2 linked regions of the Canis lupus familiaris genome follow. The protein of the gene in region 1 interacts with the protein of each later gene in a biochemical or structural test. Links are inferred from orthologs where the notes say so. Each region holds a gene or a part of one and is shown in the gene's direction. Other genes may lie near its edges.

Evidence for each region.
Region 2: the proteins of TRIM7 (region 1) and RNF187 interact in a test that uses a peptide from one of them, tested with the Homo sapiens proteins (2 studies listed by BioGRID, with this or other methods). The link is inferred for Canis lupus familiaris from reciprocal best matches to the Homo sapiens genes TRIM7 and RNF187.

The regions. Positions count from the first base shown.
Region 1 is NC_049232.1:580,473-587,663, reverse strand, and holds the start of TRIM7 (E3 ubiquitin-protein ligase TRIM7), read left to right. Parts: upstream 1-2,158; 5' UTR 2,159-2,328; coding exon 2,329-2,871; intron 2,872-4,043; coding exon 4,044-4,139; intron 4,140-4,145; exon of another isoform or gene 4,146-4,302; intron 4,303-5,041; coding exon 5,042-5,272; intron 5,273-6,244; coding exon 6,245-6,267; intron 6,268-6,551; coding exon 6,552-6,667; intron 6,668-7,183; coding exon 7,184-7,191. UniProt on the Homo sapiens protein: E3 ubiquitin-protein ligase that have both tumor-promoting and tumor-suppressing activities and functions in several biological processes including innate immunity, regulation of ferroptosis as well as cell proliferation and migration.
Region 2 is NC_049235.1:238,509-245,787, reverse strand, and holds RNF187 (E3 ubiquitin-protein ligase RNF187), read left to right. Parts: upstream 1-2,620; coding exon 2,621-2,664; intron 2,665-3,087; coding exon 3,088-3,817; intron 3,818-5,160; coding exon 5,161-5,253; intron 5,254-5,447; coding exon 5,448-5,669; intron 5,670-6,008; coding exon 6,009-6,011; 3' UTR 6,012-6,308; downstream 6,309-7,279.

The DNA.
Region 1 (7,191 bases):
TGAGGGACACTCGCGGGGACATCGAGCTGGAATAAACATCTGAAGGCAGCAGTGGAAAGTGTAGGAGAAATCATCAGGCACGATGCCCAAAATGAACTCAGCGGAAGAAGGAAAGTAAGGAAGACTGTGCAGGCTGCTACCGTTTGTTAAACAAGAAAAAGGAGAGTGCACCAAACTATACAATATCTGTATAAAATAATTCAGAATTGCAAAGTTGTTCTCTTGGGATGGGGAGGAGACTGGAATGCAGACGATGGGCACACTTTTCGCTGTGAAACTCTTTGTATATCTGAATTTTGAACAACGTTTAAATCAGTTCAATCCAAGAAAAGTTTACCAGTCTCTTACTATGTAACAAGAACCGCTTTAGAAGTCTGAGGGGTCCAACCCGTAACAAAACCAACTCAGTCATCCCCTTAACATCTCAAATTCCAGAGGAGGTAGTGTTATGAAACAGCCAGGTTGAAGGACAATGTGTTAAGATGCAATTTTAAACAATGTGGTTAGGGCAGGTTCTGCTGAGAGGATGACATTTGAAACAGGACTTGAAGGAGGTGGGAAGTAAGCCAAGCAAGTATGGGAAAAGAGAAGTGCAAGTACAAGTAAAAGCCAGTTCAAAGGTCCTGAAGTAGGAGCTTGTTGGCATGTTGCAGGAATAGCAAGGAGGTCCCTGTGGCAAGAGAGGAGTGGATCAACAAGGAAGAGTGACAGGAAATGTAGGTAGAGTCTGGGTGCAGGGGATGGGGTCAAAGAATGGGTAGGGCTTTAGGAGGATTACAAAGACTTCAACTTTTACTTTGAGCAGTGGGAGCCAATGAAGGGTCTGAGCAGAGGGGAACCTAACCTTGCTCTGACTTAACATTTCAACAGGACTGTTCTCACAGCTCGATGGAGAAGACAGGGTAGGGCAGTGTGTGACAGAAGGGGATAGAACTGTTGTGATCATCAGATCATGGAAGGTGGTACACAGATCATGGAAGGGTGTGAGAGAGTGAGGACACAGAGGGGACTGAAGGTGGAGTCTGTGCAATGTGTTCCTCTTGGGAGTCACAGAGGACTCCCTGGTATGGCCTGAACACCTGAAGGGATAGAGTTGCTGTTAACTGGGGTTGGGTGGGGAAGGCTCTGGAAAGAACAGGTGGAGGGCAGATTTGAAGTATGGTGTTGTTTATGGTGAGTGTGTGATAGTCCACAGAACATGCTGCTGGGACTTGGATGTGGAAGCCAGACATAGTAGGAGACACTGGGTGGGGATGTGTATTGTGGCCTCAGCAAGAATAGGGTCTTTCAGGCCAAGAAAATGGAAGAGATCAGTAGTATAGGACTGAGCAAGTGGAGGAAGAGGAGGAAGAAACCACAAGAGTGGCCAAGAAAAAGGTAGGAGGCCACGGATGCAGTTGGAGAGCCAGGGCCTATGGCATCCTGGAAGGTGCCAGGGAAGTGGCAGCAAGGAGGAAGCATTGGAGGAAAGGGCAAATGAAGTGAGGCCTGAGAAAGAGCCTTTGCCTTTGAGTTAGGATCTCTGAGGTCACTGGTGACCTTGACAAGACTGGTTTCTGAGGAGGGTGGTGTCTAAAGCCTGCCCTGGGTGACCTCAGGAGTGAGGAAAGAAGTGGAAGCCAATATTCCTGGCAGTTCTGGAGGGACCGCAAAGGGCTGGGTTATTTTGGTGGAGATTACAGTAGGGAAAGGTATTGTAAATGTTTTATTTGTTCAAAGCCAAAAATTGAATAAACAAGGAGGGGAGAACCACCGTGGGAAAAGTAGCCACAGACGTGGTTACAAAGCCAGGATTGGGGGTGGGGGCAAGAGCCACCTTCCAGACACTAAATTTAGCTCGCCCCGGGTCAGGACAAACCTGTACTGCGGGAACCTGACACTGTGGCCAGGGCGCTGGGCCCTTGGACATCCCGGCAACCGGGAGTGGCGCCCAGCTGGGTGTGTGCGCCCACCTGTCCGGGCCCGTTTCCCACGTCTGACTGATCCAGGCAGGGGGTGGACAAGGGGGGTCGCGGAGGGGCTGCGCAAGGGGGGCGCCGGAGGAGGGTGCCAGGAGACCAGCGGAGCCGCAGACCACGGCCGGGGTTCACGCGGCCAGGGCGGCCCAGGGCGGGGACGCGCGGCGCTGGCCTGCACTCGGCCCGCCTACAGACACGCTCTCGCGCTCTCGTGTCCCAGCCCGGCAAGCTCGCGGCTCGAGTCTCTGCCAGCCCGACTTCAGCCCCGCCCTTCCTCTCCCAGCGGGTGCTCGGAGGCCTCCTCGGGCCTCTGCACCCCTCGCCCCTCGACGTCCCCGGCACCGCCCGACCCGGGGCGCTGGGGGAGCGCATGGCGGCGGTGGGGCTGCGGACGGACCCCGGGGCCGGGGCCGAGGCGCTGGCCCTGGCGGCAGAACTGCAGGGCGAGACCACCTGCTCTATATGCCTGGAGCTCTTCCGCGAACCCGTGTCGGTCGAGTGCGGTCACAGCTTCTGCCGCTCCTGCATAGCGCGCTGCTGGGAGCGCCCCGGCCCCGGCCCCGGCCCCGGCCCCGGCCCCGGCCCCGGCCCCGGCCCTACCGCAGCGCCGCGCGCGCTGCCCTGCCCGCTGCCCTGCCCCCAGTGCCGGGAGCCAGTGCGGCCCAGCCAGCTGCGGCCCAACCGGCAGCTGGCCTCGGTGGCCACGCTGCTGCGGCGCTTCAGCCTACCCGGGGCCGCGCCCGGCGAGCGCGCACTCGCGGAGGCGGCCTGGGCGGGTTGCGCCCTGCATGGCGAACCACTCAAGCTCTACTGCCAGGACGACGGTCGCGCCATTTGCGTGGTGTGCGACCGCGCCCGCGAACACCGCGCGCACGCGGTGCTGCCCCTGGATGAGGCTGTGCAGGAGGCTAAGGTAAGCGCCCGCGCCCCCCGTGCAGGTCCCCAGGGCCCCAGCCCGGGTTCCGCCTGCCTGCATGTGCGGGGCAGAGGGCAAGCAGGCAGGCCTGCGGGAGGCCCGGGTGAGACCCTGCCGCTTCTCTCCTCTGCCACGCTAGCCAGCCTTGCCCTGGGACTCAGGGCAGCGCTCTCCGTGTCACCGCTACATCATTAATACCATCCTACCCGCCACCTCGAGTTTCCCTCTGGGCTCCTTCCTGGACCACCTTCGCGATACCTCTACAGACTTGGCGATTTTCATCCTGCTTGTCAGCCCCTGGCTTCTAGCAGCGCTGCCATCACACCCACACTTCCTCTGTCCACCCTCTCGGCCCTTTCCCTGCGGTGGCTCTGTGCTGCGTCCTGGGCCGAGTGGGGCGACTTTTCCAGGAGACTGGGGTAAGGCAGCGGGTGCCTGCTGCCTGGTTTGAGTGGAGCAGCAAAAGCTGTCGGTGGGCTGTGTCAAACATGTGGATCTTGGGCACTCTCTTTCCTGCCTCCTTACTGCCTCAGCACACAGCCCCCAGTCTTTTACTCTTTATTCCACTTCAGCCCTCCCACCCAGATGGCTTTCTGGTTCTGGGAGGGGTTTAGAGTTTTTTAAAATTTAAATTCAATTAGCCAACATATAAGTACATACTTAGTTTCCGATGTGGCATTCAACAATTTATCAGTTGCCTATAACACATGGTGCTCATCACATCCCATGCCCTCCTTAATGCCCATCCCCCAATTACCCCATCTCCCACCCACCTCCCTTCTAGCAACCCTGTTTGTTTCGAATAAGTAAGAGTCTCTCGTGGTTTGTCTCCCTCCCAGACAGCTTTCTGATGGTGAGGAGGAAAACAGAGGGGAAAACTAGGTAGGTTGGGCTGCTACAGGGCCTGCCTGCATTTCGGCTTGGATTGTGAACAGATGGTCTGGAGAAGTGAGACCTTGGGGCCTTAGGAGTCACCCTTCAGTTGCCCCGTACACCTATGTACTTCTGTGCAGGCTATAGCCATCTGGATGTCCAGATATGGCTTCAGCCCTGCCTCCTATTCTTCAATGAAGAGGGTCTTCTCTTTCTCCTAGATGGCTCCAGAAAGGCACATGTAGGGGTTTCCAGAGGCCTCTTACCATAATGTCTCCTTTCTCACCCTTTTGCAGGAACTCCTGGAGTCCAGGCTGAAGGTCTTGAAGAAGGATCTGGAGGACTATGAAGCATTTCGTTCCACTGAAGAGAAGGAGAGCAAGGAGCTTCTGGTGAGCGGGCATCCTCCAGGTGGATCCTCTTTGGGTGACAACAGAGGACCACCCACCATCCTGGGCCTGTGTGTGCACTCTTTAAAAAGAAGTAAAGTGAAGAGTGAAAGTTGGAGGAGTAACAAATGTTAAAGGACAACATTTAGCTGAGTAAAATTTGCAGGTATTATTGGCTTTATTCAGCAATTCATGAATTGAGCAGCATTCCATCTGGCAGATAGAAAAGAACTCTGAAAAGCTATACAAAGCAAAAGAATTTATAGGCAGACATGAGCAGGAACAAGGAATTTATACTAGGCCAAAAAGCAGATTGGTTATTGCAGTTACTTTCCCTGTTGGGGAGGGTAGAGGTTTATCAGGCAGTTACTTAACCAATACTGATCAGGTAATTCCTGATTGGCTGATGTGAGATTCTCTTTCTGAGAAAACTGAAACTGTGATTAAGTCTCTGTTTCCTAATGTGGGACTTAGCATCAGTGACTCCATTTTGAGCCTCTTGTGTAGTTTCTAACTCAAAATAAATGTGTTTGGGGGTGGAAAGGAAGTGACCTCAGTTTAATCTTTACAGTGGCTCTGGGAGACATTAAGTAATGTCCTAAATATTTCTCCTACTTTCCAAGTGAGACAGCTGCATCCCTGGGTGGTTCTGGGGCAAATCTGAAGTTGCCCTAGGTAGGTGGGAGAGCACATTTGTGACAGGGAACTCGAGAGCATGTGTTGAAACTGCTGTGTAAGGATATCTAAACTAGAGGATGTGTGTGGTGGGTATGTGTAGGTGAGCCTCTGACCCCTGAACAGTGAGATGAGTGGAATTCTGTCCTGTGGAATGGCTCAGATGCTACTGTCCAAATGCTACATCTTGACATCCCATTGCCTATCCCAATTCTCCCCTCCTGAGACAGAAGCAGATGGCAGCTGAGCGAGAGAAGGCGGGCGCGGAGTTCCAGGCACTGAGGGCCTTCCTGGTGGAGCAGGAAGGCCGGCTCTTGGGCCGCCTGGAGGAGCTGTCCCGGGAGGTGACACAGAAGCGGAATGAGAACATAGCTCAGCTTGAGGGTGAGATCACCCAGCTCTCCAAGCTCAGCAGCCAAATCCAGGAGACATCTCAAAAGCCTGACCTTGAATTTCTCCAGGTGAGTCTGGATTGGCCAAGAAGTATGAATCATTTATCCCCAGGCATCACAAATGGCAAGTGAGAACAGAGTCAGGTTCTGTGAATTTAGTAGAATCACATACTCAAGCAGAAGGGGACTGCAGAAAAGTGCCCTTCTTCTCCTGGGTTTAAAGGTCTAAAAAGATGTGGTAAAACTGTCTTGACCTTGAGCCGCAATAAAGATCTTATTGGCTTTACTCAACAATTCATGAATTGGGCTGAATACAATCTAGCAGACAGAAAGGAGTTCCAAAGAGCTGTATACAAGGTGTACGTCATATTCCAGTATATAAACCTTGTGACAAAAATCTCAGAAAATAATACTTATCTTTAGTACATGTAATGCGTTTTTTGACATTTTCTATTTTATTTCCTTTTAAAATAGTCACAGGGACGCCTGAGTGGCTCAGTGGTTGAGCTTCTGCCTTTCGCTCATGGCGTGATTCTGGGATCTGGGATTGAGTCCCACATCGGGCTCCTTGCAGGAGCCTGCTTCTCCCTCTGCCTGTGCTTCTGCCTCTCCCTCGTGTTTCTCATGAATAAATAAATAAAATAAATAGTCACAATCCACAAATAAACTTCACAAGGCACAAATGGGTCAAGCATACTCATTTAGAAGATACTGGTCTGAGTGGCCAGTCATTGCGGAAGGGCTATGACTTCCCTGGAGTGGTGTCGGGAGCAGAGGCAACACTGGATACCAGCACATGGCTCCAGTGATGATTCAGTAATGAAGGGAGCATTTGCAAAGCCCTGGGAAGGGAGGCGATGAGACACCCAGCAATCAGGCACAACAGGAAGCCACTGCCCTCTGGGCCACATGCAGGTGGTTGGGGGTGGTACACCTTATTGCTTACTCTCTAGAAGTAGGGCAAGAGGCCAGTTTTATTTTCTCAAAGGTGACTGGTGGTTACGTGATGCTGAGTTGGTTTTCTTTCATCTTTCTCACCAGGAATTCAAAAACACCTTAAGCAGGTGAGTGGACCTAGGAGTGCCTTAGGCCTCTACAAGCTGGCTCTTCTTTTCCACTGAGGTCTCTCTCTTCATTCCCTCACTGCTGACCTCTCACCTCCCAACTCCCACACCTCCTTACCAATGTAACTTCTAAGGCAAATGTCCACCTGACTGGCTGTGGATATTCTGTTGTAAGACCAGCCTCTTCTTTCTTTGCCTCTCCCCACCAAAGAGGACCTTGCCATCCTCAGTCCGGTGGGAGTAGGACAGTATTTGCGGGCTTCCTCTGGGTCTTTGTCCTGCAGGTGCAGCAATGTGCCTGGCCCCAAGCCCACCACAGTCTCTTCTGAGATGAAAAATAAAGTCTGGAATGTTTCCCTCAAGACCTTTGTCTTAAAGGGGCTGCTCAAGAAGTTCAAAGGTAGGGGCCTGTGCTTGGGGCTGGGCCACTCAGTGCTGGAGGCCATGGTGTGTTTTGGTATTTTGGGGTCCCAAGGATGTGCCTTTCCAAAAGCTGTGTGAGAAAATTGGAGCTAGAGTGTGTCAAGGCCAGATTGGTGCACAGAGATGAGGGTGGCAAATCCATTCAGCAACAATCCCCCTCAAGCCACCCCCCTAACCTCCTCAACACAAAGATACCCCCAGGGACAGGTGGGGTAGTGGATTAGGGGCAAAAAGAGGGATGAGGAGGAAGAGTTCAGGTCAGACTAGCTCAGGCTAAAGAGAGGAGACATGGGAGAGGTAGAGTTAGGATACTGCCCCTTCCCTATCCCCTACACTTGACCCAGTGTCTGCACATCAACTCTCAGCCTCTGGGGTATCTGGGGAGTGAGTGAGCCAGTGGGGCTGTAAATGTCAGAGGAGGTGGTATCACCGTCATTGCCAGAGAGATAATCTCCTAAGCCATTGACGCATACCCCACTTTGTTTCTCCTCAGAGGATCTT
Region 2 (7,279 bases), on another chromosome or scaffold:
CACATCTTCTTTATCCAGTCATCTGTTGATGGACATCTGGGCTCTTTCCATTGTTTGGCTGTTGTGGACATTGCTGCTATAAACATTGGGATGCAACTCATGCACACATTTTCGGATGGATGACTACTACAACTTGTTCATTCTCTATTACTGGAAATTTGAGGTTTTTGGTTTTTTTCCCCAAATAGTGATGTGACAAACATTTCTCAAAACCAAACCAAGCCAAATCAGGAAAGGTTTTATTTCCATTTGGGTTTATTTTAATAGATCATATTTTGGAAAAAGAAATTGCAAAGGTTATTAAAATTCTGAAGGTCCTGACTACATATTGCTACCTTGTCTCCCAGAAGCAATATTTGCAAAATCCAGGTTTTTTTTTTTTTTGGGGGGGGTGTCTGCTAACTTAATGGTGAAGAAAAATCTTATTTTATGTTCCTATTTCTTAACCTGGCCAGAGTGTATTTTTCCCCCACATCTATGATCTGAACAAAAGGTTTATAACAGCTGTGATTTGGTTTCAAAAAGGAAAGAAAACATATAGAAACCTAATAGAAGATTGCTCGCTTTGGCAGCACATATAGAAACCTAATAGAAGAGGAAAGGAAGCTACACATAGACGAAGGTGATAGTAGGCAACAAATGCGAATAAGACAGAACTACATCAAGTCAGGTACCAGAACATCCAACCTCACTAGCTGAGGAAGCCCGCTGGAGACAGCCAGGCTGGAGTCCACACTGAGAGCCCTGGGTGGCGTGTCCTCCCCTGAGGTAAGACTTCTAACTGACCGTCTCCAAAGGGCTGTGTTTATAGGGCAAATGTCGGGGTCTGAAGCTAGGCATCTGTTCCCCTAGGAAGAGCGAGCTGCATTTTCACTGCAATATGTACTATATTTTCAAGGATCCTGGGCTAGGTGTGTCTGCCTACCCTCCTGGAACCCATCCTGGAGGGCCAGCCCTGCCTGCAGCAGGACAGGATGCAAGACAAGATTTGAGGCTCTATGTGTCCAGACCAGAAGGGCCGGTGCCGACCTGGAGGCCAGATGACATATTTTAAATAACCAGTCTCTCAAGATCATGCACACAGCCTGAGTCTCACAAACCACATCTTAGCCTGCCTGTGCATGTGCAGGTGCAGGTGGTCAGTCCCGCTGAGCAGATCACAGAAACCTCTATCCATACACAACAATCTATTCAGTAATTGTTTTTTTCTGTGAACTGACACATCCTATGGGGGGGGGGGGCTATTTCTCAATTATATTTTTTCTGTACCAAATTTTATGAACTTTTGTATGTTTGTAGTTCAAACTTTGCAAGTTTGGCTTTTGACCATTCCTGTTCCTATTTACTGTTCTACTCACTGAATATCATGGAATTTGTTGAACTCCTTCCTTCCTCTCTCTGTTCTCTTCACTAGGTTCTTTTTGTTGTTGTTGTTGTTTAGGGTTTTATTTATTTATTCATGAGAGACAGAGAGAAAGAGAGGCAGAGACACAGGCAGAGGGAGAAGCTCCATGCAGGGAGCCCAATGCAGGACTCCATCCCAGGACATGGGGATAATGCTCTGAGCGGGAGGCAGAAGCTGAACAGCTGAGCCACCCAGGCATCTCATCTCCATTAGGTTCTTAGTTTACCCAACTAATTGGGTGCGCTGGGTTTGAAGCCTTCTTCTGACCATTATGGAACAGAACTAACCTTACTTCGCTAGTTACACTTTCCATGCATTCTCAGGTCTATGCCAAATTTTAATAACACAAAACTGGAAGCAATGTAACACAATCTGCATCTGTATGGAATAACAAACTAATTTTTTAACACTTAAAAATTATGTAGTGCTAAGTTACAGTAATTTTTTATTTCAACTGCATGCTTGCTTGTTTTGAAAATAACTGTGGAGGCTGAGAAAATTAGGGCCATTCAAGTTTAACATTGGCACAAGCACACTGTAGCTTTGGTAGCAGTCTCAGACCACTGCGACCAGGCTACTGTGACCAGGTACTGAACTCTACCTTACCCTGGCTACAGAAAAAAACAAAAACAACAACAACAACAACAACAAATCGCGCCCTTATTAGAATAAGGAAGCAAGAGCTTGTGAGACCTCTTTACTGGAGACTCTCACACCCCCACCATTACTGAAAAATCCCACCTTCCTCCTAGACCAGCCCATAAAAACCCAGTTGGAGCCCACCTCGGGGTCCAAGTCCCTGCTCCGCTGTGTCGGGTGTACTTGGACCCAAGCTCGAGCTTGTTAATAAACCCTCATGTGTTTGCATCGGTGTCGGCTCCTTGGTGGTTTCTCGGATTCGCAACCTTGGGCACAATACAACCAACCAGATTGCTCCTCTCTCCAAATTTTTCCCCCTAAAGAAATGCTAACAAATGTCTGGGATCCTGGAGCTTTGGGTCTCATGGGACATACTCATTCCCTGCCTCCGGATTCCTCCGCTAGGGACGCGCGGGACAGTGGGCTGGAGGCCTGTTATGCCCGGGGACAGGACCGGTCCCGTGCGGGGCGGTTCACGCGAGGAGGCGCGTGCAGAGCGGATGCAGCAGGAGAGGGAACACTCGGGGAACCGCATGCAGAGAGGATGCGCCGGGAGAGGGCCCACGCGTCGAGGGGATGCACCGGGAGCGGGCCCAGGCGGGGCGGCGCGTGCAGAACCGGTGCACACGCGGGGGTCCCACGTCAGCCGTTTTCAGCCCGGCCCCAGCCCAGCCCCAGCCCCAGCCCCAGCCCCAGCCCCAGCCCCAGCCCAGCGTGGGCGGGGAGCTCGCAGCTCAGGTCCTAGCAGCTTACAAAAACACTTTTATAATGAAATCTTCGTAAAAAAAAATAGGGGCAGCCCGGCTGGCTCAGCGGTTTAGCGCCTGCCTTTGGCCCACGGCCGATCGGGTCCCACGTCGGGCTCCCTGCGTGGAGCCTGCTTCTCCCTCTGCCTCTCTCTCTCGCTCTCCCCTCCCCCTCCCGCCGTGTCTCTCATGAATAAATACATAAAGTCTTAAATAAAAATAAAACGGCTTCCCTCTCGTCCAGGTGTCATTTCCGGGCTAAGCGATAACCCTGGGAAGATTTCGGCCCGTGAGAAGGCGGGCAGGCGGGCCGGCCCGCGGACTGGAGAGCGACCCGCGGGAGGCGGGAGGCGGGAGGCGGGAGCACCGCTGCCAGGACCCCGGAGCGCGGCGCGCACCCCTGCCAGGACCTCGTGCGGAGGCGCGGCCGGCCGGGCTCCGCGAGCGTCAGGCACACCGCTGCCAGGACCCTGCGTGCGGCGCCCCTCCGTCACCGCCCGCGCGTCCCCGCCGCCGTCCGCGTCCCGGCCTGCGCCGCGCCGTGCCCTGCGGCCGCGCTCCCCAGCGCCCTTCTCGGTCCGTGCCCGCCGCCTCTCCGCCGGCCGCGCCCGCCCGCAGGGCCCCCGCCGCCGCCGCCCTGGCGCTCCCCGCGGGCCCAGCCGAGGCCGCCTGCGCCCTGTGCCAGCGCGCGCCCCGAGAGCCGGTGCGCGCCGACTGCGGCCACCGCTTCTGCCGGGCGTGCGTGGTGCGCTTTTGGGCCGAGGAGGACGGGCCCTTCCCGTGCCCCGAGTGCGCCGACGACTGCTGGCAGCGCGCGGTGGAGCCCGGCCGCCCGCCCCTCAGCCGCCGGCTGCTGGCGCTCGAGGAGGCGGCCGCGGCGCCCGCGCGCGACGGCCCGGCCTCCGAGGCGGCCCTGCAGCTGCTGTGCCGCGCCGACGGGGGCCCGCTGTGCGCCGCCTGCCGCATGGCCGCGGGGCCCGAGCCGCCCGAGTGGGAGCCGCGCTGGAGGAAGGCGCTGCGCGGCAAGGTGCGCGCGGGCGGGACCGGCCGCCGCCCCGGACAGGGCCCCGGACGGGGCCCCGTTTCCCTCTCCTCCGCCCTCAGACGGTGGCCCGCACCCCCTCCCCACCCCGGCCCCTGCCCCGCGCCCCCCGCCCCCCGCCCGGTGCTCTGACCCCCGGCATCCTCGGATGGCGCCCGGCCCCTCCTCCCCAGCCGTTCACCCCTCACCCTTAGATGTTGTCCTGTCCCCGCTCTCCAACCCGGGTCCGCGCCCCAGACTGCTCTGCTCCCTGTCCCCTGCCCTGCCTCCCAGTCCCCACCCTCCGCTGGCTTCCCTTCCCCCATTCCGAACCTGGGTCCCTGTCTCCAGATGGCATCCTGCCACCCGCCCCCAGGGTTCCCTGTCTCCCCATCCGGAACCCAGGCCCCTCTCCCGGAGGGACGGTATCCTGTCTCCCCTCTCAATCTTCAGAATGGTGTCCGATCCTCCGTCCAAGCCCCGCCCCGCCCCGCCCGGTCGGAAGGTGCCGGGTCCTCTCTCCAACCAGGGTCCCTTCCCCCAGGACGTGCTTTGTTCCCCCTCGCCCATCCCCGGACATCGCCCCCTCGCCTTATCCCGCACCCCTGAAGGGCGTTCTGTGCACGCTCCCGTCCCTGGACCATTCTCCTCCTCCACCTCGCACACGCAGCCCCTGTTCCATTTTCGGAGGGTTCTACCACTACCCCCGTCCGAGGTGGGCGTTCATCTGTTGGCCCCGCCTCCACGTGTGATGTCACCCCGCAGCAGCCCCACCCCCGCGGGCTGGACCGGGCGGCAAGCGTGGGCTGGCAGCTGCTGTGGTCCAGGTGCCCCCTCCCTTCACCCAGATGCTTCCCCACTCCATCCTGAAAGCTTGGCTGTTGCAGTCGACCAGTGCATGGGGCACCTGACCCTAGGTAGAAACCCACAGTGGAAGAGTCTGGCTGTAGCTGGGGGCCTGGGGACACCCCCTAAAGGGGGGTCACATTATGTCATTAAAGACAGCCTGGGCTCCCCTGAGCACCCTGGGGGTGGATTGGAGCTGGGCTATGCTCCTGCTGGGGGAACCCACAGGTGTAGGGTCTGGGGACCCTAGGTGACAGGAACGCTAGGGAGCCCACGGGATAGTCTCATATCCAGTTGCCTGATTGTATTCCTAGCAGGTGCATTTGTCAGGCTTCTTTCTGCAGAGAGCTTAATGGGCCTGCAGAGACCCCCCTCTGGTACCTGCAGCCCCTTTCTGTGGAGTCTGACAGGTCAAGATCACACACTGAGCCTGTCCCCAGACTGGCTGGGGGACCCTGGGCCTTCTGACTGTGTGTCCACCAGCGACCCGCGTGTCTTTTTAGGAGAACAAGGGGTCGGTGGAGATCATGAGAAAAGACCTGAACGATGCACGGGACCTGCATGGCCAGGCCGAGTCTGCTGCGGCCGTGTGGAAGGCAAGTGGCGTAGGCCTGGGGCGCACCCAAGGAGGGGATGTGGGTGTGGGCCCTGACCCGGATCGGTGGGGGTGCGGCTGGGTGCTGCACACTGCAGCAAACCCCCCTCCCCGGGGTGGGTAGCAGTGGGGCGGGAGGCCCCAGGGTGGATCCCGGGGCACAGGTGTCCCTGCCGTCTGCTTCCTGCCCTGCAGGGACATGTGATGGACCGCCGGAAGAAAGCCCTCACCGACTACAAGAAGCTGCGGGCCTTCTTTGCCGAGGAAGAGGCGCGTTTTCTGCAGGAGGCGGATAAAGACGAGGGGTCCTTGGAGGATGAGGACTCAGACCCGGCTGAGCGCTTTGGGTCCCTGCTGCAGGCTGTGTCGGAGCTGGAGCATAGGCACCGCAACCTGGGCCTCAGCATGCTGCTCCAGGTGGGCACCCCCTTACTGCAGACCCCAAGGGAGGGCGAGGAGGCAACTCACTAGGGCACAGGGCTTCCCACCAGCCAGGCAGCTCCTGCTCAAGGTTGGATGGGAGGACTGACTCTGGGACTCTGGCCTGTAAACACCCCTTGTCTATGGCAGGTCTGGCAGCCCCTGCCCTTTTGTCTTCAGGTCCCTGGGGTGCTGTTCCAATTCTGGAACGGCTGAGTAATCAGCTCCCAGGGGTGGAGTGGCTGCACTGAGGCTCCAGCCTGGGGGAGATGCCAGAAGCTGGGGGCGCCTCAAGGCCTGGGTCTCTCCTCCCCCCTCCTTCCCCTCCCCCTGCAGTGAGCTCCTGCCCCCTCTGCTGGCTCCAGGCCCCAGAAGCTGCACCCACCGTGGCCTGGCCCGCCATTGCTGCCTCCTGGACCCACAGCATCCTTCACCTTCGAGGGTCTGCTCCTAGGTGTACACGCAGGATGTGTACCACAGGTGCCCACCATGGGTTGTGCCAGAGAGTATCCCTGTTCCCTCTTCCTCTGGGCATTCATGTTCCCCAGGCTCCACACATGTGACCCTAGAGACCTATAGCCGGGGCACCGTTCACCCCAGTGTATCATGACTCTTCATAAAGCTCTTGTCGCTGCCGCCGAGTCTCATTGGCCTGGGGTCTCCGTGGCCGGCAGTGTCTTGGGCAGCCTGGGTCGTCCACCCCATTGAAAAGCCACCCACCATGGGGCCGTTCCACTGGATGTGCAGACCTGCTAGGGGTACATATGAGGTGTATGTGCAGGGAAAGAGGCTCAGGGCATCAGGGTGGGGAGGGCAGGCAGGCGGCTCAGACCTGCTTCTGGCTTGAGCCCCCAACAGCATGGGTCCCACAGAGCCTATACCTCTAGCGCCAGCTCTGTCTTCAGGAACTTTGTGGGGTCCGTGTCTGGGGCACTGTGTCCTTGAAGCTGTCACCCCTCTGCCTCCCAGTGTCCACATGGCTGTGCTCATTTCTCTGCACCACCTGCCCCTGGGTGACCTGGACCTGCCTCAACCTCACCCTCCTTTCCCCGACCCCTGCCAACCTGCCTGTCCTTGGCTGACCCGAGTGTTTTTCCTGGGGCAGAGGAACCGTTCAGGGCGCTGGTCACCCCCAGGCCTGGATAAGGTGTCTCATCTCCCTCTGCTCCTGGCCTCCTCTGCTTCAGTTTCCTTCCGTAGATGAATGTAGTGGGAACACGACTTGTGGGAGCAGCACGATGTAAATTCATGCAAGTGACAGTGAGGCAGTGGGGACGAGGGATCCCGGAATGTTGACTCAGAGCCATTAAAGACGGTGGAGGCTGGGTGTCCTACGCGATGGCTCGGAGTTAGGGTCAGCAGGTGCATTTCCAGAGGAGGCCTCCCATCACCGTCCCTGTGCGGCCGTCTGGTTTCTGTGATGTTGGGGGTGGCATGCCCGGCACTGGTCTGCAGTCAGGGAGCCCAGTAAAGAGGGCTTGCTATAGCCAGTTTGCCTGGCGCCCCTCCTTTCTGTCTCCTCCACAGCCCAGCCAGTGTCCAGGGAGGCCCTGTGTCCATGCTGGGGCCTAAAGGGGGCCCCCGTGATGGGCCCCGTGCCTCTGCTA